4 linked regions of the Lonchura striata genome follow. The protein of the gene in region 1 purifies or fractionates together with the protein of each later gene. This does not show direct contact. Links are inferred from orthologs where the notes say so. Each region holds a gene or a part of one and is shown on either strand. Other genes may lie near its edges. The genes, in order: DNAAF10, CCT3, POLR3E and POLR2J.

Region 1 (7,802 bases):
CAACTTCACTGGTCAACAGAGATCCATCTGGATTTCAGCTTTTTTTCTGGCTAGTAGTGCACCCTGCTGCCAGTGCTGACATAGGGTTTCTGGCACGCAGAATCTCCTTTAGAACTGCAGAGGAAGGCACTGCACTTCGGTTGAGGAAATGGAGTCAAAGTCACCAAGTTAACACTGACAGAAATTAAGTAGATCAGGTTTAGATCCTGTTTCACAGAGGACTCCAAGGAGTCCCAGTACTACATCAAATTAGATATTTTTTCCTGGTCATAAAAGTGATAAAATTGGAGCAGGGGGAAAAGAGAAAACAAATCCATAGTAGCAGGACACACATGACTTTGTGAATGCTGCATCAGAAAATACTCACCGTCTGTAACTTCAAATGACTCTAGAAAAAGATCGTCTAATCTGATGAGAGCAAGGGCATCCTAAAAGAGCAGGAGATCTGTTATCAGCAGTTGTTTCTTTTGTTGCTGAAAGCTGCTGTTCTCTTTATACAAACAACCTAGCAAATAACTAAACTTAAATCCACTTCTTTTCAAAAGCAATAAAAATATTTCCATCTAGAGAACCCTACAGGTTTGGATGCCCATGCATTCAGCCCTGCCTCCCCAGTGCTAGTAAATACAGGTCTAGAGCAAGGAGCAGCCTCTGCAACACTGAAAAAAGTGGGTTTGTTTCTAAACAGGCCCAGTCCTATTTAGTATCTACTGATGGTCTGGATGAGGGGATTCAGTCCACCTTTAGCAAATTTGCAGATGACAGCAAGCTGCAATTGCAAGTGTTAATCTGCTGGAGGCTAAGAGGGCTCTGCAGAGAGACTGGATAGATAAGCCTCATATTAAATCCATTACTATGAGGTTTAATAAGTCCCTGGGCCGGGTCCTACACTCTGGCCACAACAATCCCCTGCAGAGCTACAGGCTGGGGACAGAATGGCTGGACAGCAGCCAGGCAGAAAGGGAGCTGGGAGTTCAGCTGGCAGCTGGCTGAACACAAGCCAGCAGTGTACCCACATGGCCAAGGAGCAAATGGCATGCTGGCCTGTGTCAGGAACAGTGGCCAGCAGCACCAGGGAAGGAAGGCATTCTGCTCCTGTACTTGGCACTGGTGAGGCCACACCTTGAGTATCATGTCAGTACTGTTTTGGGCACACCAATTTAAGAAGGACTTTGAGATGCTCGAATGTGCCCAGAGAAGGGCAGCAAGGTGATGAAGAGTGTGGAGCAAAAGTGATGAGAAGTGATGGAGGGAGCTGGAGGGATTTAGGCTGGAGAAAAGGAGGATCAGGGGAGACCTCAGCACTGTCTAGAGCTGCCTGGAAGGAGGGTGTAGCCAGGTGGGGGTCAGCCTCTCCTCCCAGGCAACCAGCAGCAGGACAAGAGGACACAGCCTCAAGCTGCACCAGGGAAAGTTTAGGCTGGGTATTAGGAAGTTCTTCACAGAAAGAGTGACTGGACATTGGAATGGGTTTCCCAGGGAGCTGGTAGAGTCACCATCCCTGGAGGTGTTTAAAAAACGACTGGATGTGGCACTCAGTGCCCTGGTTTAGTTGATAAAGTCATAGCTTGAACTTGATGATCTCCAAGGTCTTTTCTGACCTAGTTAATTCTGTGATTCTGTGAGTTTTGCACAGACTGGAGGTTATTGGCTTGGGCTTAAGAAAAATGAGCAGAGTCTACCAATGCAGAGGACCTCAGAGAGAGGATATTGCTTTATGCTTGCCTATGTTCTCTGTTTACGTGCTGTTTGACGGCTACTTTTTTATCCAGCATTATCTTAAGTAACTGGATGTCTACTCCAGTCACAATTCTAGAAAACATTGATTTCTAGAAAACCACCTAAGGATTTTTCTCTTTATTTCTTACTGAAATTTGCAGAGAGGCCAGGGACAGATCAGTAAAGTGGAGCAATCTCTCACAATCTGGTTGTTGGGAGACTCACCTCTACTTGAAATCCAAGTATGAAGGCTTTCACAAAATCAGCTGCTTTCGTCAGAGCACTGAGATCCTTTGTCTCTTGACAAGTCTGCAAGACAAGAAGTTATGTTTGCAAATTAAGACCAGGCAAGTTAGGAGCAGAACTTAGAAGTGATCAGCCTGTGCTTGGAGGGGAGAGAAAAGCTGCTGAAAATCCACACCACCACTGACTGAGTAGAACTCTTGGTGGAGAAAACCCAAAACCAACACAAACTAAACTCCAGCAGCAAACAGCAGGAAAAAGAGAAGGATGGTGATGGCAGGAGAGTTATTCTAATGACAATATTCTAAATATGCCTTAGCAGGTGAATGAAATTAATTTCAAAGTTTTATATTCATGATAGATATGGGCAAAATGAAATCAGTGAATCGTATGTCAAAACTTTAGATATGCCCTTAAAAACTCTTGGTGTGAACATTCCTCAGGAGGAATAAGGATAAAGAATGAGCATCTACAAGATTTACAGGTTTATACTGCTGTCTGTGCCCTAAGGTATTCCAGTGCAATCCATTAAAGAAAAAGCACATGCTATTAAACTATGAGCCCTTATCATCTGCCACAAACAAAGGCAGGAGGAGATTCAGTGCCCCCATGTAAGATACTGTTTACTGTCAGGTCAATATTTGGTAACCTTAAATAGCCAGAAAACATTGAATTACAAAGTCATATCTAAGACATGGATGAAAATTCTTCTTAATGTACACAACTTTCTATAGTACATAACTTTCTCCTACAAAAACAGAACACTCTCCCAGCTTCTGCTGGCTCCTTCTGGAACAGATTTGGATTTTACTTGCACTAACTACTAAGCAATCATTTTCAGATTTTGGTCCCCAGGGAGGTGACACCACACAGTTTCCATTTTTCCAAGCATTATGTGGGATTTACGACTTCTCTAGTCTTTACCCTGCGGACCAAGAACACACATGAGGAGAGGCACTGCTTTTCAGGAGGCAGAATTGTTATAAGTGAAAGATCCAATTTATTAATTTAAGAAAATCTATTAAATGCATCAAATATAAATTTATAGAATAACAAAAAAAAAAAAAAACAAAAAAAGAAAAGCCATTATAAAAAAAAAAGGTCAGTGGTGAGCCCGGGTGTTGGCGCTGAGTGAGACACAGGTTTGACTGCTGCAGTAGAAGGTTTCCTATGCTCCCAGAATTTGGTATTGAGATGTATCTCCCTGATGGCTCTGGCTATCTCAATTTCGGATATTTATCACATATTTATCGTCCGGGTGTTCCTTGGACCACCTTGATGGGTGATCCATCTCCGGGCTGGCCACGTTCAATTGCTTGTGAATGGAGTCCTCCCTCTTCTGTCCAGGTGGTTTTGACATTGTTTTGCAATCCTTGTTGCTGGCTTGAGTTTTAAAAACTTCTTGTAAGACTATATCTTAACATTTATAATTATAAAATATACGACAATTTTATTTGCACAAATTATCACATGTAACAGAATCAGAGAATGGTAAGGGGTTGGAGTGGACCGTAAAACCACCTAGTCCCAACCCCCTGCCACGGGCAGGGACAATGTCTCTAAACCAGGCTGCTCAAAGCCTTATCCAGCCTGCTTTGAACAGGGCTGGGGTAGTCCCGGGCAACCTGTCCCAGCGTCTCACCACTCTCACAGTAAAACAAGTCTTCCCAACATCTCCAAACTAAACTTCCCCTCTTTCAATTTGTAAACGTGACTCCTTGTCCTGTCACAAACAGCCCCTCTCCAGCTCCCCTGGAGCCCCTTCACACAGGGAAGGAGCTGCGAGCTCTAACACAACCTTTTCCCACCGGGGAAAGCCCCAAGGAGCCGCTCCCCTTACCTTGATCTCAACATTCCTCGTTTTCAAGTTGAACCTGATCTGAAGCTGCAGATGCTCCACAATGGGCGTGAATATCTTCATCCAGTTCTCCTTGAGCGGCGTGTACCTGTTGGCCGGCACGGGGATCTTCCTCAGCTCGCCTTTCCCAACCTGCGGGGGGGCGAGACACAGCCGGCCGTGAGTCGGGGCCGGGGGGCGGCGGACACGCGGGGCCGGCGGGCGGACACCCGGAGCCGGACACGCGGGGCTGGAAGCCGGACACGCGGGGCTGGAAGCCGGACACGCGGGGCTGGAAGCCGGACACCCGGGGCCGGGAGCCGGACACCCGGGGCCGGGAGCCGGACACGCGGGGCTGGAGGCCGGACACGCGGGGCCGGACACCCGGGGCCGGGGGGCGGACACCCGGGGCCGGGAGCCGGACACGCGGGGCCGGCAGGCGGACACCCGGGGCCGGCGGCCGGACATGCGGGGCCGGGGGGCGGACACGCGGGGCTGGAAGCCGGACACGCGGGGCCGGCAGGCGGACACGCGGGGCCGGACACCTGGGGCCGGGGGGCGGACACGCGGGGCTGGAAGCCGGACACGCGGGGCCGGCGGGGGGACACCCGGGGCCGGGGGGCGGACACGCGGGGCTGGAAGCCGAACACGCGGGGCCGGCGGGCGGACACGCGGGGCCGGGAGCCGGACACCCGGGGCCGGGAGCCGGACACCCGGGGCCGGGAGCCGGACACGCGTGGCCGGCCGGAGTTTCCCCTCGCCCCGCGTACCCCGAGCGCCTCGGCGGGCACGGGCGGGAATGCCGGCCGCTTGCTGGGTCGCGGCTCCGCCGTGTCCATGGCAGCTGCCGCCGCCCGCTCGCCGCCCGCCCGCCGCTTCCTGCGGCTGCGGCGGGACACGACGCTGGTGAAGCCGCCGGCCGCGGGCTCGCCGCTCTCCATGCCGAGCCGGACGTGGTGCGGCTGTCGGCGGAAGGGGGCGGCGAGTGTTTCCGCCGGCAGCCGGCGGGGAAGGGGAGGGATGTCGGCGGTGCTGGGAGCGGAGCGGCCGCAGGTGGTGTCGCACGTCCAGCAGGCGCTGAGCTACACCGTGTTCGACTGCAAGTGGGTGCCGCGCAGCGCCCGGCTGCTGTGCCTGGGCAGCGCCGCCCGCGGCACCGGCGTGCTGCAGCTGTACGAGCTGAACGGAGCGCGGCTGCAGCTGCTGCGGGAGGTGAGCGCCGGCTCCCTCGGGACCGGCTCGTCCCCAGCCCCGGCGGTGAAAACGCAGGAGCCGACCCGCGTGTTGAACGCCCCGGGATGCGCTGAGCGCTCCCCGCAGCTCCCCGGAGGGGCGTGCCGGGTGGGAGCCTGACTCTTCTCCCCGGCAACTACAGCCGCGGAGGTTTCCATTGGCTTTGGGAAGGATTTCCGCACGGAAGGGGGGATTAGACATTGGAATGGGCTGCCCAGGGAGGTGATGGAGTCACCGTCCCCGGAGATGTTGAAGGAAAGGCTGGATTTGGCACTCGGTGCCTTGGTTTAGTTGGCAAGGTAGTGGCCGGTGCTAGGTTGGACTCGACCATCTCAAGGCTCTTTTTCAGCCCAACTGAGCCTGTGGTTCTGCGATTTTGTTTACTGCTGTGTTTTGTAGGTTGTTTTTATGTGTTTTGTTATGGTTTTTTATGTGTTGTGTTATATGAGTTATTGCCTGAGTTTGTTTTTTGGGTTTTTTTTGTGTTCTTTCGTTTGTTTGGGTTTATTTTTTTATTCGTTGTTGGAGTTTGGTTGGATTTTTGATTGGGTTTTGGGGTTGTTTTTGTATGTTTGCTTGCTTGCTTGTTTGTTTCTTTGGTTGATTTTTTTCTCCGAGATTGACCTTTGAGTGTTCACTTCTGAGGCTAAACAGTTCCTCAGGTGCATAACGCCCACTAGGCTACAAGCAAAATATTTGCTTTAGACCAGCAACCTGGACCCTCTGCTTTTCTGTGCACAAGGACTGAACTCAAACTTGCCTTCAATAGCATTTTATTAGTATTTTGCACCAAATATCCCCTTGTGTTTCGCTGACACTTGCCCCAGTGCACTCCTAAGATCCGCGTAGCCTGTGGATGATTTTGCCTTTTCCGTGTGCTGACACAGACATTTCCTTTCTTTAAAAGATTGAAAAGCCCAAACCTATAAAATGTGGGACTTTTGGTGCTACATCTCTGCAGCAAAGATACTTAGCTACAGGAGATTTCGATGGAAACCTTAACATATGGTAAGCACAGATATTCTCTGGAAGCGTTTTCACTTGATGTTGTCCATGTCTGTCTGAACAGAGGTTTCTGTTTGTGGATTTTTGCATGAGATGCTCTCCATGCTGCCCGTGGTTGGGACCCAGTGCAAGCTTTGCTGGCTACTGTATTTGAACCATGCCTGTTTTGTAGAAAAAACACAGAATTCTGCATTATTGTTTAATTCAGTCCTGCTTCACTCCCATCTTCTTTGTGCAGCTACAAAAACCTGATAAAGTTCTGGGAGGTTGTCCTCTGAAAAGAGGGTTTTAAATGGATGCATGAGTACAAACAAGAGGTTGTGTTCAACCTAAATTTCCTGTCTAGATTAAATATATCTTTTTAATCTTGACATATCAAATGTTTCCTCTAGGTCCCTGAATTATTGGTGTAATTAATATCTAGGTAAATTTATGATCAAATTAAGTAGTAGTGTCAAAAGGAGATTTTTTTATTACCATCATTATTATATTGCCCTGTGTCAAGGAACTACTGGTTCTTGTTGGAATAGCAAGAATTACATGGACAGTTACTAGCTGAAATGTAAAATAAAATTCTGAAAGATTCTCAAAGAATGGGAATCTGTGGGAAAGAACCATGAAACTTATGGCTGGATACAACAATATTCACTGAAGTTAGAGAGCAGTAGTCAGAGCTAGGTGGGGATCAATGAATCAAGTTATTTTATAGACCTACTGAAAGTACAGATACTTCTGTACTTCTTTCAGGTCTATGTACTTTTTACAGAGTATCTTGATCTGTAGTGTGATTCATTTTTGAGCCCAGCGTGTAAAACTGGCTCTGAGTGGCTGCTGTGGTGAATCCCACAACTGCCTTTACAAACAGGGAGGTCCAGAACAGAGCAAAATCTTTTGGAGCAGTCCAATGTAGTAGCCAAAGAAGGAATCAAAGACTCGTGGTTCTTGGTGGTGATATCCATATTTGTTCTCACTGTTAATCTGAGCTTTTATGATTTGTGCTCAAGTTTCCTTTCATTTTTATACAAATCCTGAGTGTCAAGGAAAAATGCCATGTTTTCTGTTCTTTTTCTTTCTTGCCTAGGAATTTAGAAGCTCCTGAAATACCAGTGTATTCTGTGAAAGGTCATAAGGAAATCATAAACAGTATAGATGGTGTAGGTGGCTTAGGAATTGGGGAAGGTGCACCAGAAATTGTGACTGGCAGTCGAGATGGTGAGTTAGTGAACTCTGCAAGTCTTCCCAGTTCCTCTGAGCCTGCAAGCTCTTGATGGCAGGGCACAGTCTGCCATCTGAACTAGTTACAAGCTGTTGCAACTAGTTCTTTGCACACTGTCTCTTGAATCTTGCTTGGGACTGATTTTCCCTAATTCTTCTAGAGCCACAGATAAGCAAAAGGTACTGTTGTCACTGGTCGTGAGACAGAAGGAACACAAACCATGATAAATGCAAAATATCAGCTAGAGAAAATGCATCCTTAACAAATGCTTTCACTCTGTTTCTGTTTGGTTTTGTGGTTTTTTTCTTATATCCACAAAACAAAGTGAGGCTTGCTAGAATTGAAAGAGATGCTACTGTCTTTTGAATGATTAGGATGGAAAGCAAAGGGCTTTTCTAGGAAGGTGAACACAGTATGACTGTATTCCTAATAGAAAATCTATTGTCTTTCTTTCCCAGGAACTGTGAAGGTGTGGGACCCAAGGCAGAATGACATTCCCGTGGCTAATATGGAATCTGTACAGGGAGAGAGCAAAAGAGACTGCTGGAC
Region 2 (7,287 bases), on another chromosome or scaffold:
CGTTCACGTCACTCAATGGAACACATACCACACCTTTAATACAATCAACAGCATTCTGTCCAACAACAGCAAGGCTTTCTTCCTTTTTGAGACCAAAACCAAACCCTTGTATTTGACAGTATTGTGCCTCTTCATTGTTTTTCAGGCATTTCAGTTTTTAGGATGTTTTTTTACCAGCTCTTGCACCAGACAGACAATAATGATTTCTAGGTCTTGTCATGTGGCATTGTGAACACCATCTATTCAAAAGGTCTCAATGCAGCTGCTAATAGCTCCAATTACCAAAGAATTTGCATCAGTCTTGTAAACACTCCATGAAAACATCCCACTCTAGGATCAAACCTACATTTCCGCAGAGCAAGAATACTTGCCGAATATGTTTCTCTGCAGTGAGAACCTTTCTTGGAGCAGCTGGCTAGCACTTACTGGCTGTCAGGACAGGTGGGGAGATCACACAGCTCCACTGTCACTCAAGATTCAGGCACATACTGACACTATTAAGCAAGAAAATCCTTTAGGAGAAACTTACTTCTCTAAGAATAGCATTGCCATCGTTGGTCATCACAATCCCACCCATGGGGTCCAAAAGCATCTGCAACCACAAGAGAACCAACACTTGATTGCTCTGTCCCATGGGTCTCACTTCTAGTCAGCTGCAGCACAAATTCTTACCTTCATCATTGCTCTTGGTCCTAAACATGTTCGGATAATGTCAGCAATAGTCTAGGAGGAAACAAAGAAATGAGGTAATACAGGAGGGCATCAAAAAATCTAAAAAACTCCCATAGTGAAATCAACAGCCCCTGCAAAATTTAAGTCATCCAACAACTCTGCTGTGGTTGACATGCCATGGTTAAGAATTGTATGGAAATGAGAATATGCGGATTATCAAGACACTGGAACCACACTAAATTACTATCTCAGTCAGATGTCAAAATAGAGGCACTTTCAGACTTTGTGGAGAAAGGGGGTTTGGATGGCTAAATCCCTCCATGGTTATTGACAGGGTACCCATTACATGAACAATGCAGACATTTCGGTTTTATACAGAATTTTTATGTACTAGTATAAAAATCTTCTGCTAACATATAAAGTTATTTTCTATGTTGCTTCTTCTTCTACCCTATATTCATATCAAATAGAAAAAATGTGCTTCACATTCAGTTTGTCCCTCTTTAATACATAAATACACACACACACACAGAGAATCAGAACAGCTTGAGAATTTGGTACCTTTGCAGCAGTGATGTTTCCTGTCTGGACTTTTCTTCCAGACTCACGTTTTGTATTCTGACCTAAAGGATACAGAAAAAATAAAATGTATCAAGTACAATCAAGTACAAAACAACAAGGATGCAGTCACCTCTCAGTCACGCATTCAACATGTGACTGGTTTGAAATTCAAAGTTTACAATACAAATACTGCAGTCATGATAGATTGATAGACATTGATGGAAAACTGTCAGTGAAAAACAACATTCCCTATTATAACAGAGCTCCTTGTTAGCATCCTGAGACAAAGCTTTGCAACCCTGAAACAGGACCTATTACCTCAGAAAATCAAACTGCAGTGACTCACTAGGATCTGCCAGATCTCACAAAGCCAAGGAGCTGCTATTGTACAGTGGTCTTCAGTCAAAAAATGGTTACAGAGGCTCATGTACAGTAAGCAGAATTGGGTGAACATAAAGTTAATCCACTGGTGTTACTTTGGCACATGAGGGTGAGCAGCAGTTGGGGTACCAAAAGGCTCACAAGTGCTGCTGAAGACCAGCTGTCAACAAACTGAGCTCTAGGGCATATCTAGGCTCAAGGATGCTTTTCTGCTATTACAAGCCTGGCTTGAGCATGCCCAGATTTATTTAGGAGTGATGCATGTGCACAAGGAAGTGTAAGATAGAACAAAAGGAAACAACACCTTATAAGAGCAGCACCACGACTCAGGCAAGCAGGCTTATAGAAAAGGGGCGTGGGCTACGACAGTCTGCCTGTTGGGTTACTAGAGAACAGAATGGATGGAGAAGAGAATGAGATACCCGAACAGAAAAAAAGAAAACCTGGGAATACCTCATGTTGGTGGACAGTGAGAGAATCACAGAATGATCTGGGTTGGAGGGGACCTGAAAGACCCTTTCATGGGCAGGGCATGGGGTCCAAGCTCTGTCCAATCTGGCCTTGGACATTTCCAGGGATGGGGAAGCCACAACTTCTCTGCGCATTGTGTGCCAAGGCCTCACCACCATCACAAAGAATTTCTTCCCACCATCTCACCTAACCCTGCCCTCTGGAAGTGGGAAACCATCCCCTCCTATCTATCACTACAGGCCCCTACCTAAAGTCCCTTTCCAGCCCTCTTGGAGCCCCTTTAGACCCTGGAAGGAGCTCTAAGGTCCCCCTGGAGCCTTCTCCAAGCTCAAAACCCTCAGCTCTGCCAGCCTGTCTCCAGAGCGGAGGGGCTTCAGCCCTCGGAGCATCTCCGTGGACACGTCCAGACCCGCTCCAGCAGCTCTGGAGGCCCAAGAATTTGGGTTCACACGGGGCTGAAATGGGGCACTACAAAGCAATGTGCTGAGAAAGACGCGAGACCAGCCGAGAGCACGGAAGGCTGCCAGGAAAGGTCTGAGCGCAGCGGGGCTCCGAGATGGGAGCTATCAAGGGGAGCTGGGGCCGCGCCGGGGCCGGCAGCGATACTCAGCGGATCCCCGGCGGGACGGGGCCCCGGCCGGTACGGGCCGTGAGACGGCGCCCGGCCATGAGGAGACCCAACATGGCGGCGAGTCAGGCGAGCGGCAAAGCGGGGCGGCGCTCCGAACCCCCGGCCATTCCCTCGCCCTCCGTGCCGGCAGTCCGGGCCGGGCCGGGCCGGGCCGGCGGAACTTACTGAGAACCAGGACGGGGCGCGGGCCCATCATCGCGGCGGCTGGAGCGCGGCGGAACCTTCTGGAGCCTCGCAGCGCCGCCGCCCCGCGCACCGCCCCCCCCCCACCGCGGGCAATGGCGCCTGAGCGCGGCGCCCAATCAGGGCCGCGCCCGGCGCCTTCGGCAGGGAAGTGACGCCAGGCGCAGGGGCGGGGCCTCCAGGGGCTCCGCACGGGCGCCGAGGGGACGGGAGGGGAGGGGAAAGGAGGAGCCGTGCACAGCCCCGGAGGAGAGGCGGCGGGCACCGTGGGGCCGACTTGGACTGGACATTTCGCTGCCGCGTCTCCGTTCCATCCGGGAGGCACAGGGTCCGAGATGCCACGGGCGACCTCGACTCCTAAAGGCAGAGCTCAGTGACCCCCCCACCCTCGGTCATCAGGGTGGTCTCGCCCAGTCCGCACTGCAGGAGCCCAGAGAAGGACGGACGGTGAGGCGGCCCCGCCCGTCCGGCAGCGCAGGCCGTGCCCGTGTCTTGCCAGGTCCTCTGACCCCTCCGGACTCCCCCAAACTGCCTTAACCCCGCCCCGGGTAGCCGTCCCCCCGCCAGTTTTGTCCAGACCAAAGTATTTTATTTTATTTTATTTTATTTTATTTTATTTTATTTTATTTATTTTATTTTATTTTATTTTATTTTTATTATTTGGCTGGCGCCGCCCCCACCCTACCGCCCCGCAGCCCCCCCAGCGTGTTGGGGGAGCAACCCCTGTGCCCCAATAAACGGATCCTCTTCTTTCCGGGCCTGGCTGGTCGTGATTTGGGGCTGGGGGAGGGCAGGGGGCTCCTGCTGGGTTACAAGGGGGGGACCCCGATCTGGGGGAAGCGGCGACCCCACGGCCACGCGGAGGGGCGGGGCCACGACAAAGCGGCGGGGTCAGAAGGGGCGGGGCGGGGCAGTGAGAGGGGCGGGGCTGCGGTGGAGGGGCAGAACTGAGCTGGGGCGGGGCAAAGGCAGGGGGCGGGGCGTAGGGCGGGGCGGGGCCGTCGCTGGTGACTCTTCGGCGACCCCCAGGGCCGGGGGTCGCGTGTGTTGTGTCCCTGTAGGGGCTCTAAGGAGGTCGGTGCAAGGAGGGCACCACACGGGACAGGGGTGGGCACGCTGGGTGACACAGCTGCGCCAAGCCCCGCCTCTTTCAGACCAAGCCCCGCTCCTCCTGCCTGAGGCACCACGCCTAATTCCCCGCCCCGGCCCGTTCCCGGACACTGCGAGCTGTTGGGGCATTGCCATGGCTACAGTCGGTCCTGACAAATCGTGGCAGTGGCTTTGGACAGGAATACAGTCGGAGCAGACACATCCCAGCCGTCGGTTCCACCACATTGTGACGGTCGGCTCCAGGACAACAGGACAGCACCGACAGCCCCGGCGGTGGCAGTGTGATGGGAGCCGCAACTGCCGGCGCAGGATCTCGGTCCCTCCGAGCCCGCCGCCTCCCGCTTCCACCGCTGGGATTTCAGGCCGTCCGTCCCGATGTCTCCCCCGGGCTCCCCAGCCCCCCCCACACCCGCAGGATGTCCAGCTCCTCAGGCTGACCCCCGGCCCCTCTGTCCCCTCCGGCGTGCCCCCGACACCCCGCGGCTAATCCCGGCAGAGGGCCCAGAGCTCCTGCCAGGATCCGTCAGTGTCCGGGGAGCACCAGGTAGGGGGAGGGGTCCCTCAAACTTTTCTTTTCTGCAGGTCACGGGCTCCAGCGACCCTGTCGTGATGTCTCAGACTGTGTTAAAACATGCTCAAGAGCTGCCCTCCTTCAAGCCCAAGCTCAAGACCATCCAAGTCATCACCAAGGACCTGATCCGGGAGCTCATGTAAAGCTGTGCCCAAGCCCTGAGGGTTTTGGGGGAATGGGTGTTCAGTGCAGCATTCCAAAATCTCTGGGATTGGCAGTATGCCCTGGCCACCCCCAGGGATGCTGCCCCCTGCATCCCAGCCTGGTGCCACTTTCACCACACTTTCCCTTCCTGCCTCACCCCAAAACAAGACAGCCAGGTCCCCATGGCTTCCCCAGCACTTCCCAAATCGATCTGGGCTGGCTTGGTGGCTGAGTGGGCAGCTCAGGGAGCACAGGGAGCTGTTGCCATCTCCATGCCACTGAGCTCTCTCCCTGGGCTCCCCAGCATTCCCCAGGAGAGGCCCAAACCATCTCTCATCGTTGGAGAAAAGGAATACGAGAGGATCAAGGAATCAGCTCGAGCCCCGACTGAGGTGGAGCACTGGGACAGGCTGAAGACCCTGAGAGCCAGACAGGACACAGCTTTTGTAGGCATTTCCCTTCCTGCTTCCCCTTTTCCTGCTCCACAGCTGGGTTTGAGGGGTGGTGGCTCCTGCAGGGGACCCTCCCTCTGTCCGCCACATTTTGGGGCATAGGGGAGGCTGCAGGGCTCAGGGCTCCACTGAGAGCTGGGCAGCATCCCTGAAATTATGCCCAGCACTGCCAGCATCCCTGAAATTATGCCCAGCACTGCCAGCCTTCCAAAGGCACAGGATATCTGCTCAGAGGTGTGGGGAGGGGTGCCCATGGCTGTGGCAGGGCCCCACGAGCCCGACATGTCCCCACTCAGTGCTGGGAATGCAGCACCTGAAGTGTGACCCCTGCGGGCCCTCGAGGTGTCCAGGATTGGGCAGTGCTGTCTGTCCCTGCAGGAAGCCCTGAAAAAGGCCCAGATTGAGGAGCAGAGAAAGGCAGAACTGGAAGACAAGAGGGACCATCGGAGAGATGTGGAGGAGGAGCTGCAGCAGGAGGAGCAGAAGCTGCTGCAGCGGGCGGCAAGGATGAGGTTGGAGCAGGAGGAAGACGTGCGGGAACTGAACGCGGTAGGGCCAGTGCTCCCCGCTGTCACCTGGCACTGCCTGAGCCTTCCCTGCTCCTCGTGCTCCCAGGCTCTTCCTCTCCTTCCCTGGCCCTCCCTGCTCCCTGTATCCCAGTGCATCTCCGAGCCACAGACCCCTCTTGTCCCCGCAGCTGTTCCTCAATGCCAAGTGCAACATGATCCGGGACAAGCAAGTCCTGGAGAAGCGGATGATCCACAAGGAACTGGTGGAGGAGGAGAAGCGCCTGGACAAAATGATGGAAATGGAGCGGGAGAAGGGCATGGAGGTCCAGGAGGAGCTGGAGCGCCAGAGGAAGCAGGAGCTGATAAGGTGGGCAGAAGGCTCCCTCTTCCCCATGGAGGCATCTGGCCCATTCCAACCACACCAGCCCCGTCCATGCCAGCGTTCCCACGATGGGGAGCAGGATGGAGCCAGAGGAAACCCTTCTGCTCTCATATTCCCAGAGCCCGGCATGACATTGTGAAACAGATGGAGCAGAGGGCAGAGGAGCAGGCATTGAGGGCTGAGGAGCTGTACCAGGAGGGCCAGAGGCAGCTGGAGCGACTGGAGCAGATGAAGAGGGAGGATCGGAAGGTGGGAGCAGAGAAGAGGGGGGTGCAGTGAAGTTTCCACCTGGCTGGAAAGATTATTGGCAGAGCTGGATCAGCCACACCCAGGGAATAGGGACATCAGCCAGCAGGCTCAGAGCTCTGGTCCCTTGGGGACATTGTGACATCCCAGGGAGGTGGCCCAAAGCCTGCCTGTCCTGAGTGAGGAGGAGGAAGGACCACTCAGCTTGGTGGTCTCCAACCCTGCCTGGCATTTCCAGGCCTGGGAGCAGAAACAGGAGCGACTAAAGCAAATCCATGCAGATATTAAATGTTTCAACGTGGAGAGCCAGAGACTGAAGGATCAACAGCGGGAACAGGACAGGCTGGAGGATGAGCAAGTGCTGAAGCAGCAGCGGCAGAAGGCTGTAAGAGCAGCGGGCTCCTGGTGGGGTGGGCAGGGGCTGCAGGAGCTGTCCTGGGGCTCTGTCTCATCCCAGGGTTCTGTCCCACACTCTGGGACTCTGTCCCATCCCGGGTCTCTGTCCCCCATAGGAGCGTGAGGCCACCTTGGAGGCAAAGCAGCAACAACTGCGCCTGGAGAAGGAAAAGGAGCTGGCCCAGCTCAGGGCCACACAGCAGCGGGCCCAGGACTGGCAGGCAGAGCAGGTGAGTGGCCCAGGCACAGGTGACATGCTCCCCTGCCACCGTCCCTGTCATCACCCCAGCACCCCTGGATGTGGGGGGTCTGCAGGACCAGCCCCTGGAGCCAGGGGATGTCCTGGAGCGGTGCTGGCAGAGCCAAAGCCACGGCCAAGGGCTTCCATAGCTGCCCCTGAGGGGAGCCCAGCACTGTCCCCTATTTGGGCAGGATGCTCTGAGGGCCAAGAGGAACCAAGAGGTCGCAGACCGGGAATGGCGGCGGCGGGAGCTGGAGAAGGCACGGAAGAAGGCTGAGCTGGCGCAGCAGCTGAAGCAGGACTGGCTGGAGCAGGTGGCCCAGAAGGAGCAGTACCT
Region 3 (7,348 bases), on another chromosome or scaffold:
ATCTTTTCTAGGAGGGAAGGGAAAGTTACCCTCGGATGTCCTGCTTCTGGCTGGTGCTGTAACCACCAGGCAGTTGTAGCGGTGAGCAGCCTTGCAACACATGGCAACATCTTTTTGCTGTAGATAGCAGGGGTTGTGGGAAAGTAGTGTCCATGGCCTCTTTCTTTTTTGTTTCGTTTTGAGAGTGAGGGCAAAGCTCTTCACCCATTAATGGAGGAATGTCTCATTTCTAGATCTCAGCTGGTCTTAGGTAGTGAGGTACTAAAACGACCAGATTTTTGGACCTAATATTTTTTGTACATGCTGAAATAGAACCAGAGGACTGCAATTAATATTAATCTTTTCAGTGCCTATCCAAAATTCTGCTTTAGATGCCTAAAGCCTCTCTAGGAATGTGGCCTGTTTTGCTATTTCAGTTCATAGCATTAAGGTGTCAGCTGTCAATGAAAGGTGAAGACAATTGAATAGTCTGTTTTGTGCAGAACCTATACAGTGGAGGGACTATAAATCAGACAGAAGGATTTCCCTGATGTGCTTCCCTCAAAAGGTGGTGATGCCAAATCTTTAAGATTTTCCTTGAGAAGGAAGCATGTGTTACCACACCACTAACCATTTAGGGAGGAGATTGAAAGTGTCCAAAATGTGCATGCAAAGGATGTAGAGTGTAATTATTGACACTTCTTGGTGTAGTTTAATTTGCTAAATTCAGTAGTTGCTGAAGTTGCTGACAGCTCAGTGTAGATCTGGTATGTAAATGTGCACACAACTCAGTGCAAAATTAATTAATTTTTTATTTGCAAATACTACTTTTTGGTGATGAAGACTACCTTCTGTCCTAAGATGTATCAGATGATTTAGCCATACAATAAATGGGACTGTCAATAATATGAAAATGGAAATTGTTTACAGAAATATACGCAACTTAGTCTGTGACATTCTTTTGAAGGGAAAAAACTGTATATTTTAAAGACTTTTTGTAATTATATTGCTTTACGCTGTATTTTTAATCTATTCACAATGAATAAATAAAAATCTGTATTTTTTAAAAATGTGAAAATAAATCTGAGGCTCAGCCTGCCAGGACTTACCTGGGCTCAGCGTTGCCAGAATATTTCTTGGGTAAGGACAGTGAGATGGAAGACTTTGTATGTCAGACAAGCAAATACTTCTTGCCTGCATCACTTAGTACTCTCATTCACTTTGTCTGGGTTCATTCTGGCTAGTAAATAAAATTGTTCTTTTTGTCACTTTTTCTCAGTAGAGTGTTACTCATTGCTTGTGGGTATTTGCTTTTGGGTTGTTTTTTTTTTCTTTATAAATTGCCAAAATTCAATCCTACTATTGCAAGCTTCCAGAAATCCTCTCTGTTGTTTGTATTATTCTATTCCCAATTTCATTCCCTTATTCCCTTTTAACAGTCAGAAGTAACTAACTGGGAGGAAATTATCTGTTTTCCACCAGAAAACAAAATGGTTGATGTGCTCTCTGATTTACATTTGATTACACACGTAATTACATATGTCTGTAGCCAATGGAGGATAAAATATAAAGACAGGAAAGCTCATGTCCAGGGTGCTACGGAGGCCTCCCTATCCTTTTAGCTTTTGTTTAGTCCTGAGAATAGGCTGGAAATTCTTGGGCTCTATGATTTCAGGTGGGATACAATATCTAATGATACACTGTCATCTTGCCTGTTTGAAACAGGCTCTTTCAAACTGTTAAAAATGGAGCTCTTAGTGTTGCCTTTTTACTGCTTTATTTAGACAGGTGGAACTTCTTATACCTGTGTAGTTTAAACAATGTGAAATTATCTTCTAGAAAGGGCACTGTGAAATAGCAGAATTTCCTAACAAAAAAGCACCATGTGGGCCTCTGCATTGTGGAAATCACTAAGATGAAAAATGGTGAAATTTGGCACTGCTCTAGCTTTATAGGCCTTTGGAGTTTTTAGATATAGCTGCTGTCACAGAGATGGAGTGTTTGGCAAATGTAACAAAGTAAGAATAGCATTCTTCAGAAACCATGGAGACAGCAAACTCTTACAGCTTATAAAGTGTAAATAAGTATATTGGCTTTTTCTTAATTACTGGTCTGTGGGACTGATTTGAATCTCGTTCTCTTCCCCACAGATAAAATTTCACTCAGAGTAGAATGAGTGCTGACAGAGCCAGGTGTAGTTACGATGGGTCAAGTCAGGACTTCTCATCTGAATTTGGAGAGGCAGAATTTCATTTGACCCTCTCAGGACGGATGCAGGGCAATGCTGCCAGGGGTGAGTCAGGGTATTTTCAGGTTTAAGTTCAGGGATATCTCTCAGTTGCTCCTGCTGATGGACTTAACTCCTGTGTGGGGACAGCTCAGGGCTTTGTAGCTATTGGGCCTTGCCTTTAGTCTGGGAGTCTGACATACTCCAGTATATGTGGGTCCTTGCTAGTCCTTGGCTATCCTGTGCCAGAAAACAAAGTAATGAGGCTTGTCCTATATTTTGAGTTCTCCTCACGTTAATTATTTTTTAATTTGGAAATGATTCTGCCATTATAACTGATGTTGCACAGGTGAAATGAAAAAACTGGTGACCCAGCTGCCACCCCCGAGGGACAGCCTGTGCTCTTAGCCCCTGTTTCCCACGTGGCTGATGTGAATAATCTTGGGTACACAGGCTTCCTTTGGTGCTCAGGAGAAATGTCTCTGTGGCCAGGCACAGAAACACTTCAGGGACAGAGGCTGAGCTCAGGGCAGAAAAGCACTTTTCAGGAGGGTGTTAGTTCCCTGCACTGCCTGGGCAAAAGGGCCTGTGGGACTGAGCATCCCACACAGTAAGGAACAGTTTGTAATGAGTGTGCTACGCAGCCTCCTGCACACACACACAGGCTTGAAGACTGTTAAAACTGACTCTTTGCCAAAACTTTTCTCTTGAGCAGGTTACAGGTGATTTGTTGTGTGAAGCCAGTTCAGGTCTGCCTGCCTTCTCTCCTCCCTGAACCTCTCCTGCTGCTCTGTTCTTAAAAAGCCGCACATCCTGAAAAGGCACTGAACTGAGGGTGTGAAACTTCAGCAGCACTAGAGGAGTTTATTCATGTTTACATGTGTATGCTGTTATTCCTCAATACTTGTAGGCAGTGAATTGAATTTTTTAGCAAGACTGTGCCGTGCTTCAGCCTCTCACAATGAGAGTGCTAAAAGCCTGGCACAGGTTGCTCTGAGAGGTGGTGGATGCCTTATCCCTGTAAACATTCAAGGTCAGGTTGGACAGGGCTCTGAGCTACCTGATCTGGTTGAAGATGTCCCTTTTCACTTTAGTGGATGGACTATCAGACATTTTTTAGACACTTCCAACCCCAACAAAACCATTCCCTGCTTCCATTTCAGCAGCTCCCTGGAAAGAGAGCTGGCACCACCGGGTGCTGCAGGGACAGGCTGTGGGAGGTGCCAGGGGAAAGGGTTGAATGATGCTGTCAGCAGGGCTCCCGCAGGTTTATTTTCTCTATCCTATTTAAATGAACTGCCACAAGGACAGAATTAAATCAAGCTGCATTAAGGCTTTGTGGCCTTACCATAGAGAAGCTGGAGTTCTTCCTCAAAATACAACCCTTCAGTTGTAATTAAGTGGTGAAAAAAAAGATTAATTCTTTACGAAAACTCACCAGACTTTCAGGCAAAATGCGACCAGAGACTTCCAGAGGCACGTGCATGGAGCACCAGCAGCTGAGGTGTGCTACCATGCATTTGCACAGGTGTACTGAGTACTGCCGTGCTGGTCCCTGTGCTATACGCAAAAGAACAACCCCCCAGGCATAAACTGCTGACTTTTGACTTTGCGAATTCAGGGAGCTCTGACTTTGCAACGGACAATTAGAATTTAGAACTTTTTTTAGGCTTTCAGAGGGGGTGCCCGGGCGGTGCCACACGTACGGCGCAGGCGGCTGTGCTGCTCCGTGGCATCCACGTGGCAGCGGGCGCGGCGCGGAGGGCTCGGGTGCATCGCGCAGCTCCAAGTGCCGCTGCTTGGGAACGGGCTGAAAAGGACCCCCCCGCATTTTATTTTCCGGGTAGAGGGGGTGTGTAGGCAGAGCGGTTGTTGGGGAAGGAGAAGGGTGGGAAAGACGGGGACAAACCGGTGTGCAGTAAAAGCATTGCCAAAAGGCAGCATGCTCGTGGCGGTAGCGTGGCCGAGCGGTCTAAGGCGCTGGATTAAGGCTCCAGTCTCTTCGGGGGCGTGGGTTCGAATCCCACCGCTGCCAGCCCGGGTTCCTTTTTGCGCCGCGGGCCGCCGCCATCGCCCCCTGGCGGCAGCGGCGGCCGGGAGAGCATTGTGGGTAGGAGGAGGCGCCGCGTCCCCACGTGCCGGCCCGCGGGCCACCAACATGGCGGCTGCCTGACCGCTGCCCCACCGACACGGGGAGCGGGGGAGCGGCGCCGCCGCCGCCGCCCGGCCCGCACACAGGTACGCGGGGCCGCGCTGCTTTTGCGCCTCCCGGGGCCGCCCCGGCGCCGGGGACCCTGCGGGTGGTGGCGAGGGAGGAGCGCGGCCTGGGCTGGGGTGGGCTCTGCCTGTCCGGGGAGGACGGCGGAGCCGACACTGCGAGGACCCGGCACCGCGGGGCCGCAGCGCCCTGACAGGACCTGGCTCGGGCCGGGGCGCTTGGGGGCCGGGCCGGGTCCGGCCGCAGCCGCGGCCCCTCGCCTGCCGCGGCAGCACCGGGGGTTGCCGGCCGTTCCTCTGGGGGCTGCGAGCGGCGGCCCCGCCGGTCCTGCCGGGCCCGCAGCCCCTTCCCCGGGCAGGACTCGGCGCACTCGCCCCGAAGTGCAGCGCCTGCCCCTGCGTGGCACCGGCGCTGCGGGGCCGCAGCCCAGCCCAGCCGTCCTGCCCGGGGGGATCCGCTGCGTCCCCGCGGTCCGGGCGGCTCGGGCGGCCGCTGTGGCCTTTCCCCTTTCCCCTTTCCCCTTTCCCCCTGCCCTGCCCCGCTGCTGTGTCAGGAGGGGGCGGGCGCCAGGGGCGGCCGGCGGGAGCGCTGCCCGCGGGGAGCACGGCTCGGGCACCGCGACCTGCCCCGGGAGCGTCCCACCGCGGCGGGAGTGACCCCTGCCCCCGGCAGCCCCGGCCTGGCACGTCCCGTGCTGCACACGGGGTGAGGTGCTGAAGAAAGGTTTGTGCTTGGTGCATAATCTCTTAAACCCCAAAGGTTTGCTTCGGTGACATCACCTCCAGAGAGAGGTCCTGGTGCAGAGGAGCCCTCTTGGGTTCACTGCCAGAAGATGACTGTGCAAAGCTGCTTGCAGGCGAGGAGAAAATGAAGCAAGTAATTGGGTCAAAATGATAATTGCCATAAATGTATGGAAGGTGCTTTAGCTTCTTTTTGCAGATTCCATTTTACTGTGCGCCATGGGCCACCCTGAGCTAGAGAGTTGCTCAGAGCCCCTTCTAGAGGAGCCCGGGTGCCAGAGGTAGTTGTGGTACTGATTCAGGAAATGGCATTTTTCCCACGCTGCCGTTTCAGCATTTATACTTTCAGGCACTGATCCAGAAGGAGTTGTTGGCCTTTCTTTGTCACTGCATGATTATATGAAGAATATATCAGGTTTTAGTGTTAGCACTTTGGGGGTCTATTATTACTGACAAATTTAGGTAAAAATGAAATACTGGAGCATTTCTTGCAGGCCTGACTAAAAGTATGTGTGTCAAATGATGTGCAGGTTTGCAATTTACCTTCTTGCAGTTACATTTAAGTCTTTGGTAGTAAATAAAATTAAATCTCTAATACTCAAATGCCCTTCAAAGCTCAGAGGGAGATGTAGGATTCAGTTGCTTCATCACTCATTTTTACAGTTTTTTTAACCACAAAATTTTTCTTCAATGGCTCTATGTTGATGGTGTTATTGGCAGCTAAAGAGCAGTATCATGGATTGGTCCTTGCATTAGTCACTTTGCAGGAGAAATGAGAAGATTTCTATCTCTTGCCCTCCTGCTAGTTGATAACTCACATTATACTTTGATTTGCACCTTAAAGGAAAGTCCTTAAAACAAGAAGGTTCTACCAAAACCTGCTGACCATTTTTGCTGTCTCTTAATGTTTGATTCCATTATGTAACTCTTGTGGTATCGTAAATATATGTATATGAGAAGTGTGGAAATTAACACTATGTATGTATATATCAGACATTGTGTCTGCATGCCTTCATTCTGATTCAGAGGATTTCTTCTGGTTGCATGAGTATTATAAGTTGTACTGGGACACACTGCTTCCTATTTATAGATGTGTCAGTCTCATTTTCCAGTAAAAGTATCTGTAGTCATGCTTTATCTTTACAGGACTAAGAAAAAAAAAAGTAGTTTTTGTAATGCAGCATTTCCCCTGAGCAGTGACAGGTGGATTCCCAAGGAGATTTTGTGTATAATTGCATAGGCAGTGTTCAGTGAGGGGCCAGAGACCAGGTTCTTCAGGCTGAGTTTCTCTGTCCCTGTTAGCCCAGGAGGGTTTTCTCTTCTTGGAAGTGAAATAACTTGCTCAGAAAAGAACAAGCCTAGCAGATACTTGGCATGCAGGCTGTCAGGAAGGGAAGGGTGGTTCTTGGTTCTCTCAGGGGTGTGAGGAAGGAGGGTTTGGACCCAAGTGTCCCACCTTTTGGGTGTTGCCACATGTCCTCACACATCTTGGGCATCCTCCCACCATCAGCTCTGAGCTGAGTGCAAGCTGCAGTTGTTCCATGTCTGCAGAGCTGTCAGGTGTTGGGCCACCTGGGGACGTGAGTGGGGAAAGCAAAAAAGGAACTGACTAACCTTATTTCTTTAAAACATATTAATGTGTCTTTCTGGGAGGAACTGGGTGCCTGATCACAGAAAAACACTGATATCAGTCAGATATCACATACTCATGGTTTTGCTCACAGTCCAGCCTGTGGTTAAGGTACTGGCTTTTTGCTGTGAAGGTGTTTTGCATTTCTACAACATTACTTCAGATAGGAATCTGAAATACTGAGGCATAAATTTTTAAATACATATGTATGGTACAAAGACCCTGGGACATGCTGGTGCATAAAGAAATGGAAAATGCCAGCTCAGTATTGGGAGGGGCACTTTTTTGGTAGCAGAGAGTCTGTAAGTGAAAAATACGGAATTATATTTCTTGGTGGAATGGCAGAAACACTATAAGCCTGAATGGATGTTAATAACACTTGCATCCAGAATGTCTAGCCTCTTTGAAAGGTTTCTTAGATACCTATGTGTACATTAGTGTGATATTTGAGAAGCCTGTATGTCAACTGAAATATACTGAGCTGCCTAAATTGTGTGGTGGCTTGAGTATTTGAAAAAAATGCCATTGTTGTAGATGTAACATGGATGCTGGGT
Region 4 (6,746 bases), on another chromosome or scaffold:
GCAGTATTAGTGACTGTTACCATGTGCCCATCGACCTTTTCTAGAGCAGCTTTATGTGCAAGATGGAGAAAATAAAAAAAAAAAAAAACAAAAACAAAAAAAACAAGGTAAGAGTTTGTTAAACTCATCAGTTCATTGTAAACATCCGGTTTCTTTTACTGTTAAGTTTTCACAATTTGTGCATTTGTTTTGTAGAAATCACACTTAATAAAACAAAATACCAGTTCAGCTGGCAGTGCCTGGAGTTTTTGGCAGGAAAAGCAGAGAGTTCACTGAGCAGCTTCTCATGCTGGAATTGCACCTACAAAAACCTCCCCAACAGCCCAGGACAAATATTTGCCTCAAGGCTCCAATTAGAAAACTAAAAATCACTTTAATGACTTATCTACCAAATCCAACACGATGTTTTATCCTCCTGGCAAAGTGCCTGTCTGCTATGAAAATAAAACCAGAACTCAAAATATTGCTGCTGCTGTCAAAAATTAAACAGAAGTGGGACAAGGGGAAAAATATTTGCCATGAATGGAGGTTTAAATATTTAATCCAGTAACAGACACGTCATTCTGCATCAGAAGTAACAGTCTGCTCCATTTTACTCAATTCCTTCTTGTTTGTCCTTAATAGCAACCTGTAAAGCAAAAGCAAAAATACACATGGTTAGACAAGAGTTGTTACTGAGCTGCAGGTTGGTGTTTAATAATTCCTGACTCTTCTGTGAATCACAACCCAGTGGAAATCTCTACAGCAAGCAGAATATTGAAATTAAAATCAAAACTTATTTATGAATTGGTGCCTTTTCTCAGCACATCAGAGGTACTGTTTCAGTCACAGCCTCCCTGAATTTTTCTGAGTAAGATTAAATCTCAGGATTAGGGGGCTAAATCAATAAATAAACTGAGCAGAAGCGATGAGAGGTGAAAATATGGGCTCAAAGCTTTGTCAGAAGTAGAAAAAAGAAAATAAAAATGCACTTAAGAGCAGCCAGGCTTTGACAGCAGCTGAACAACACAAGGAGGGTGGCTTGAATTAATTCACCAACCTCAAGCCAGCAGCTTTAAGACACATAAAAACAGTATAACAAGGCCAAACAAACAAATAAAAAAAAAAAAAAAATACAAGTATAACAAGGCCAAAGAGTTTTAAGGAAAACAGTGCCCTTACCCTGAACCTCTCTTCCAGCAGGGAGAGCTCACTGATCAGGTCTGTGATGGCATTGGTGAAAGCTTCCTGCGGGCTGTAATCTGGGGTGGTTTGGACACGGATGATGATTTTATGTTCCAGAGGGTGAGGGACCTTGTACCCTGCGAACAGCACCTGCGGGTCCTTGAGCAGCTGCCTGGGACGGAACAAAAACCCAACCCCGGGAAATGAAGGGCAGGAAAATCCCAAACCTCCCCGCAGTCTCCTCCCCGCTCCAACTTACGACTTGATGATGTTCCCGAGCGTGTGGTCCTCCTTGTTGATGGTGAACAGGCAGGCGTTGGGCACCTTGGTGTCCTTGTTGATGGTGATCCTGAGGTGTTACGGGATGCAGGGGTGTTAGCGATCCGTGCGCGCCAGGGCACGGCGGGGACTGGGGGGAAAGGCCCGCTTCCCCCCGCTCCCAGCCCCCCGCGCTCTGATCAGGGTTAATTACTCGCCCCCCGGTATCCCCTCACTTTTTCTCGCCCTCGAAGAGCAGGAAGGACTCGAAGGCCGGCGGCGCGTTCATCGCGCCGTTGCTATGGCGGCCGCCGCTCCGCTTCCGTTACGTCACTTCCGCCCGCTCGGGGCGCCGCGCAGCGCCCCCTGGCGGGCGGGAGGACCCGCCGCAGCAATGGCGGCGGCGCCGAGAATGGTGGTGGCCGCCTCAGAGCCACGGCCGGGAAGGGAACACACACCGGTGACACCGGCAGCGGTGTCCCCACTGGAGCACCACGGCCGTGACCAGCTGGCACCAGCAGCAGGGCCATGAGCAGAGACTCCAGGGCTGCCACCACTGCCACAGCAGGCCACCAGAGCCACCAGTGATGGCAGCAATGCTGCCAGCAACAGAACCAGCAGCAGGAGGGCCCTCAGAAATGGCACCAGCAGGGACAGCGAGCAATGGCAGCATCAGCAGCGCCACCAAGAGAACCCCCAAGCAGGCCACCAGTGGTGCCACCAGTGATGCCACCAGTGATGGCACCAGCAGGACCCTCAGAGGTGTCACTAGTGTAACTGTGAGCAGTGCCACCATCAGTAGTGCCACCAAGAGAACATCCAGCAGTGCTTTTATCAGGCCACCAGTGGTGCCACTGGCGATGCCACCAGTGATGGCACCAGCAGGACTCTCAGAGATGTCACCAGTGTACCTGTCAGCAGTGCCACCATCAGTAGCGCCACCAAGAGAACCCCCAGCAGTGCTTTTATCAGGCCACCAGTGGTGCCACTGGCGATGCCACCAGTGGTGCCACCAGTGATGCCACCAGTGATGGCACCAGAAATGGCCCCAGCAGGACTCTCAGAGATGTCACCAGTGTAACTGTCAGCAGTGCCACCATCAGTAGCGCCACCAAGAGAACCAGCAGTGCTTTTATCAGGCCACCAGTGGTGCCACTGGCGATGCCACCAGTGGTGCCACCAGTGATGCCACCAGTGATGCCACCAGAAATGGCCCCAGCAGGACTCTCAGAGATGTCACCAGTGTAACTGTCAGCAGTGCCACCCTCAGTAGCGCCACCAAGAGAACCAGCAGTGCTTTTATCAGGCCACCAGCAATGCCACAGGTGATGCCACCAGAAATGGCCCCAGCAGGACCCTCAGAGGTGGCAGCAGTGTAACTGTCAGCAGTGTCACCATCAGTAGCGCCACCAAGGGAACCCCCAGCAGTGCTTTTATCAGGCCACCAGTGGTGCCACCAGAAATGGCCTCAGAGGTGGCAGCAGTGTAACTGCGAGCAGTGGCACCAGCAGGGCTCTGGGCAGTCCCGTCCCCAGCAGACACAGGACACGGCCGCAGGGTACCAAGTGCCTTTATTGCGGGGCCGCGCTCCCTCACGTCTGCAGCCGCAGCAGGGCCGGGCCCGGCGGCGGGGGCAGCTCCCGGCGGTGGCAGCGCTCCAGCTCCCCCAGCACCGCCAGCAGCCGGCTCAGCCCCTCGGGCAGGGCAGCGTCTGCGGGACAGGGCGGGACAGGTCATCCCCACAGCCCCTGTGACCGCCGGGGACACCTCCCAAGCAGAACATCCCCAAACCCCGCACCCCAACCCACCTTCACCGCGGGGGCCGTTGCGGGCCGCCTCCGGCTCCTGCAGCTCCCAGTACTTGTCCCTGCGGAGAGGGGAGAGGGACCGGCCGTGGCAGGAGCAGCGCGGCGGCGGGGCCGGTGCGGGGGTCCCGGGGCCAGGGGCTCACCTGAGCGTCCCCCGCAGGCCCTGCAGGTGCTGGAAGAGGCGCTGCGCCTCCACCGTGGGCTCCAGCGGGTCACTCCAGTCCTGCAGGGTGACGCCGTGCCGGGTCCGGTCGCATCCCAGCCCTGCGGGGCAGCGGGGTCACCGTACCGGGGGGACAGCCCGGCACCCCCGCGGGGCTCCGGGGCCACCTCCGCGTACCTGTCCTGTCGCGCTGGTGGCAGCAGCTCCACTTGTCGCCGCGGAAGACGCCGGGGTGGTAGGAGCGGAGCACGCGGGGGTTGTTGCCGCACACCTTGCGCAGGGCTGACAGCCACTGGTTCAGCTCGTTGACACACTGCGGGGTTGGGGACAGTCGGAGGGTGCCCCCGCCGTGCCACCGCCCGCGCCGTGCCACCGCCCGCGCCGTGCCACCGCCCGCTGTCCCCGCCGCACCTTGCACTGCAGGTAAGCCGTCTCCTGCTGCCCGCCCGTGGCCATGTAGACCACCTGCATGACGTGGGAGCTGCCGAAGCTCTTCTCCTCCACCTTCTCGGCCGCCAGGATGTCGCCCAGGGCGATGGCACCGATACGCTGATGGAAGGGACACACACGGAGGGGGTCAGCGCCGCCCCGCTGCCCGCCCCCCCGCCCGCCCAGCACGCCCGTACCTCCGCACCGGGGCTCTTGCCGAAGCTCAGGGACTCCGCGGTGAGGCAGAAATGGAGTTTCTTGCCGGCGGCAGCGGCGAGCAGCGGCCCCTTGCCCCGTGTCTTGTGCACGAGGAGCATCCCCTCCTTCACCACGGCCGGCGAGGGCCCCAGCGGCCGCCCCTCGCCCTCCTCCTCGCCCTTGTCCTCCTCCGTGCCCACCAGGCGGGTGATGAAGTCCCTCATGCGGGCGGTGCCCTCCTGCAGGGCGGGCAGCAGCGGCGACAGCCACGTCTCCTTGGCGCGCCCGGCCGCCGGCTCCATGTTCCCGACCAGCTGGATGGCCTGGGGACCGCGGCGGTGGCAGCGTCACCCCCAGGAGACCCGGCCGGCACCCCAAAGGGCCGCCCCGGTGTCCCCTGTCGCACCTTGGCCAGCAGCAGCAGCGTGCGGCTGGTCCGCGCGTCCGCGTGTGCGGCCCGCAGCTGGAACAGCTTGGGGGTCATCACGGCCGGCGAGAAGAAGCGCAGGCACAGGAAGCTGGTGACAGCCACAAATTTGGCGTGCTGGGACCGCCGAGGGGTGGGGAACACACGTGAGGGTCTTTCCCAGCGTGGGACAACCCCACAAATAGCGATGCACCGGTGGCCGGGGCTGCTGCTTGCTCAAGAGGGGACCCCGCTGACCACACTGGGGACCACACGCAGAGAGCGCTGTCCCCTGGGGATGTCCCCGTTTGAGCCACGGCATCCCCCGCACAGCCCGACCTGGTGCTGCGGGAAGCGCTCCCCGACGCGCTGGAAGAGCTGGCGGAACGCGGCGCGGATCAGGGGCGGACACGCCGGCGCCGACCTGACGATGGCGTCCAGGAGCTCGCCCAGGTAGGACTGGAGGTGCTGTCGGCCCTGCTCGATCACCTCGCCCTCCGTCTGCACCCGGTGCAGCCCCGAGCACCTGCAGGCACCGTCACTGTCACCTCCAGCGCTGGGGCCACCCCTGCCCTGCCACCCCACGAGCCCCTTACCCGACGTCTTTGATCTCCACCTTGCCGGGGTCCAGCTCCACGTATTTCTTCTCCTCAAACACGCGGGTGATGGTGGGGCCCAGGACAAAGTGCAGGTATGGCATCCCTGTCACCTGCCGAGGGACCACACAGGGGACAGGGATGGGCCACAGATTTGGCATCCGATACCCCCAGGGTCACCCAGTGGATCTTCTCCAGCCTCCCAGCCCTGGGGGAAGGCACAAGCACAGCATCCCTCCCAGTTCTTCCCCTGGGAACAGCCCAGGGCCAGGAACAGCTGGGAAGAGCAGGTTTTGGGTGGTGTGGCACCTTGAGGAAGGACTCCATCGACTTTGAGGCCAGAGAGTTGCTCCGGAACAGAGTGTTGGGCTCACCTGCAAAACAGGAGAGGGTCCATGGCCTGGGGAATGGCCTCAGGTCATCCTGGGCAGCTGCAGTCATGGGGGTCATTCCTAGGGGCTGTGCCCCGTCCCCCTGGCCATTTCCATGGGGGCCATGGGGATTTCCAAACCTCAGCCCACCTGCTCCTCCACCAACCTCAGCCCATGAACTGCTGGGATGAGCCCAACAGATTGCACAGTGCGATGGCTGAGCCTCAACCATCACTCCCAAAAAAATCCCCACAAAAGGCCCTGGAGGTTTTGCAGCCCCAGGAGATGATAAGGAAGCCTCCAGGACCACTCCCCATTCCAGCCTTACAGGGCTTGGCCAGCTCCAGCTCAAAGAGCAGGTCCAGGAACTCCTTGACCAGCCCCTGGCCCAGGAAGAGTTTGACCAAGTTGATGGCGACCTCCTGCCGGCACTCGGCCGTGGTGGTTTCGTCCAGGAGGGTGACCAGGTGCACTTGGCCATCCTGGAGGGAAGAGGCACCCTAAGGTGACAGCCCGAGGCAGGCAGACACCACAGAGCTGGGAAATGTGAGTGCTCCAGCAGGGCTGGGCATGGACCCCTCACCTGGCGCCCCAACTTCACCTCCTGGCACAGGAGCTGCACCAGGGGCTGGTAGCAGTGGGAGGGAAGCACCGTCTCATCCCGGAGCTTCACCTGCAGCTGCAGCGAGCCCAGGCTGCCCCGGCGCCTGCAGGAGCACAGGGAGGGTGGGTGGGTGGGTGGAGGGGTGGATGGATGATGGATGGATGGATGGATGGATGATGGACGGATGGATGGATGGATGGATGGATGATGGATGGATGGATGGATGAATGGGTGGATGGATGGATGGATGGATGGATGGATAATGGATGGATGATGGATGGATGGATGGATGGATGGATGGATGGATAATGGATGGATGATGGATGGATGGATGGATGGATGGATGGATGGATGGATGAATGGATGGATGATGGATGGATGGATGATGGATGGATGGATGAATGGGTGGATGATGGATGGGTGGATGATGGATGGGTGGATGGGTGGATGGATGATGGGTGGATGATGGGTGGATGGAATGGGTGGATGATGGATGTATACTTCACCAAGCAGGAGGTGGCCCAACACCCCAGGCTACCCCTCCAAAATGATGATGCTTCCCAGAAAAACTCCCATCCCTCCTGAGGGCACTGGCACCACCCCCAGCACACCCCAACACCCTGTGCCAAAACTCACTCGTCCTCTGTTGGCTTGGACTTGTCTGGGCACAGCCTGAACCACCCCTCCTCCTGCCCAGCTGCTTCCAGCCCCTGGACACTGAACACCACCTGGGAGGGGAAGGCAGGAGA

What was found.
Region 2: the proteins of DNAAF10 (region 1) and CCT3 purify together in Homo sapiens (affinity purification with mass spectrometry; 3 studies listed by BioGRID and IntAct, counting the BioPlex papers as one, with this or other methods). This does not show direct contact. The link is inferred for Lonchura striata from reciprocal best matches to the Homo sapiens genes DNAAF10 and CCT3.
Region 3: the proteins of DNAAF10 (region 1) and POLR3E purify together in Homo sapiens (affinity purification with mass spectrometry; 3 studies listed by BioGRID and IntAct, with this or other methods). This does not show direct contact. The link is inferred for Lonchura striata from reciprocal best matches to the Homo sapiens genes DNAAF10 and POLR3E.
Region 4: the proteins of DNAAF10 (region 1) and POLR2J purify together in Homo sapiens (affinity purification with mass spectrometry; 3 studies listed by BioGRID and IntAct, with this or other methods). This does not show direct contact. The link is inferred for Lonchura striata from reciprocal best matches to the Homo sapiens genes DNAAF10 and POLR2J.

Annotation. Positions count from the first base shown.
Region 1 is NC_134605.1:2,910,379-2,918,180, reverse strand, and holds the start of DNAAF10 (dynein axonemal assembly factor 10), read left to right. Parts: upstream 1-4,801; 5' UTR 4,802-4,819; coding exon 4,820-5,011; intron 5,012-5,939; coding exon 5,940-6,040; intron 6,041-7,118; coding exon 7,119-7,249; intron 7,250-7,711; coding exon 7,712-7,802. Other genes in the region: RNA-binding protein PNO1, read right to left, coding at 368-428, 1,945-2,028, 3,803-3,952, 4,570-4,740. UniProt on the Homo sapiens protein: Key assembly factor specifically required for the stability of axonemal dynein heavy chains in cytoplasm.
Region 2 is NC_134635.1:853,383-860,669, reverse strand, and holds the start of CCT3 (T-complex protein 1 subunit gamma), read right to left. Parts: upstream 3,014-7,287; 5' UTR 2,913-3,013; coding exon 2,882-2,912; intron 1,296-2,881; coding exon 1,234-1,295; intron 724-1,233; coding exon 673-723; intron 593-672; coding exon 530-592; intron 1-529. Other genes in the region: CFAP45 (cilia- and flagella-associated protein 45), read left to right, coding at 4,619-4,719, 5,029-5,170, 5,555-5,725, 5,874-6,052, 6,187-6,316, 6,552-6,698, 6,826-6,939, 7,142-7,287. UniProt on the Homo sapiens protein: Component of the chaperonin-containing T-complex (TRiC), a molecular chaperone complex that assists the folding of actin, tubulin and other proteins upon ATP hydrolysis.
Region 3 is NC_134618.1:10,694,544-10,701,891, forward strand, and holds the start of POLR3E (DNA-directed RNA polymerase III subunit RPC5), read left to right. Parts: upstream 1-4,332; 5' UTR 4,333-4,444; intron 4,445-7,348. UniProt on the Homo sapiens protein: DNA-dependent RNA polymerase catalyzes the transcription of DNA into RNA using the four ribonucleoside triphosphates as substrates.
Region 4 is NC_134622.1:5,624,929-5,631,674, forward strand, and holds POLR2J (DNA-directed RNA polymerase II subunit RPB11-a), read right to left. Parts: upstream 1,775-6,746; 5' UTR 1,712-1,774; coding exon 1,659-1,711; intron 1,514-1,658; coding exon 1,424-1,513; intron 1,337-1,423; coding exon 1,162-1,336; intron 629-1,161; coding exon 593-628; 3' UTR 513-592; downstream 1-512. Other genes in the region: ras GTPase-activating protein 4, read right to left, coding at 3,015-3,133, 3,231-3,289, 3,374-3,494, 3,571-3,706, 3,805-3,942, 4,020-4,343, 4,427-4,564, 4,766-4,952 and 5 more. UniProt on the Homo sapiens protein: Core component of RNA polymerase II (Pol II), a DNA-dependent RNA polymerase which synthesizes mRNA precursors and many functional non-coding RNAs using the four ribonucleoside triphosphates as substrates.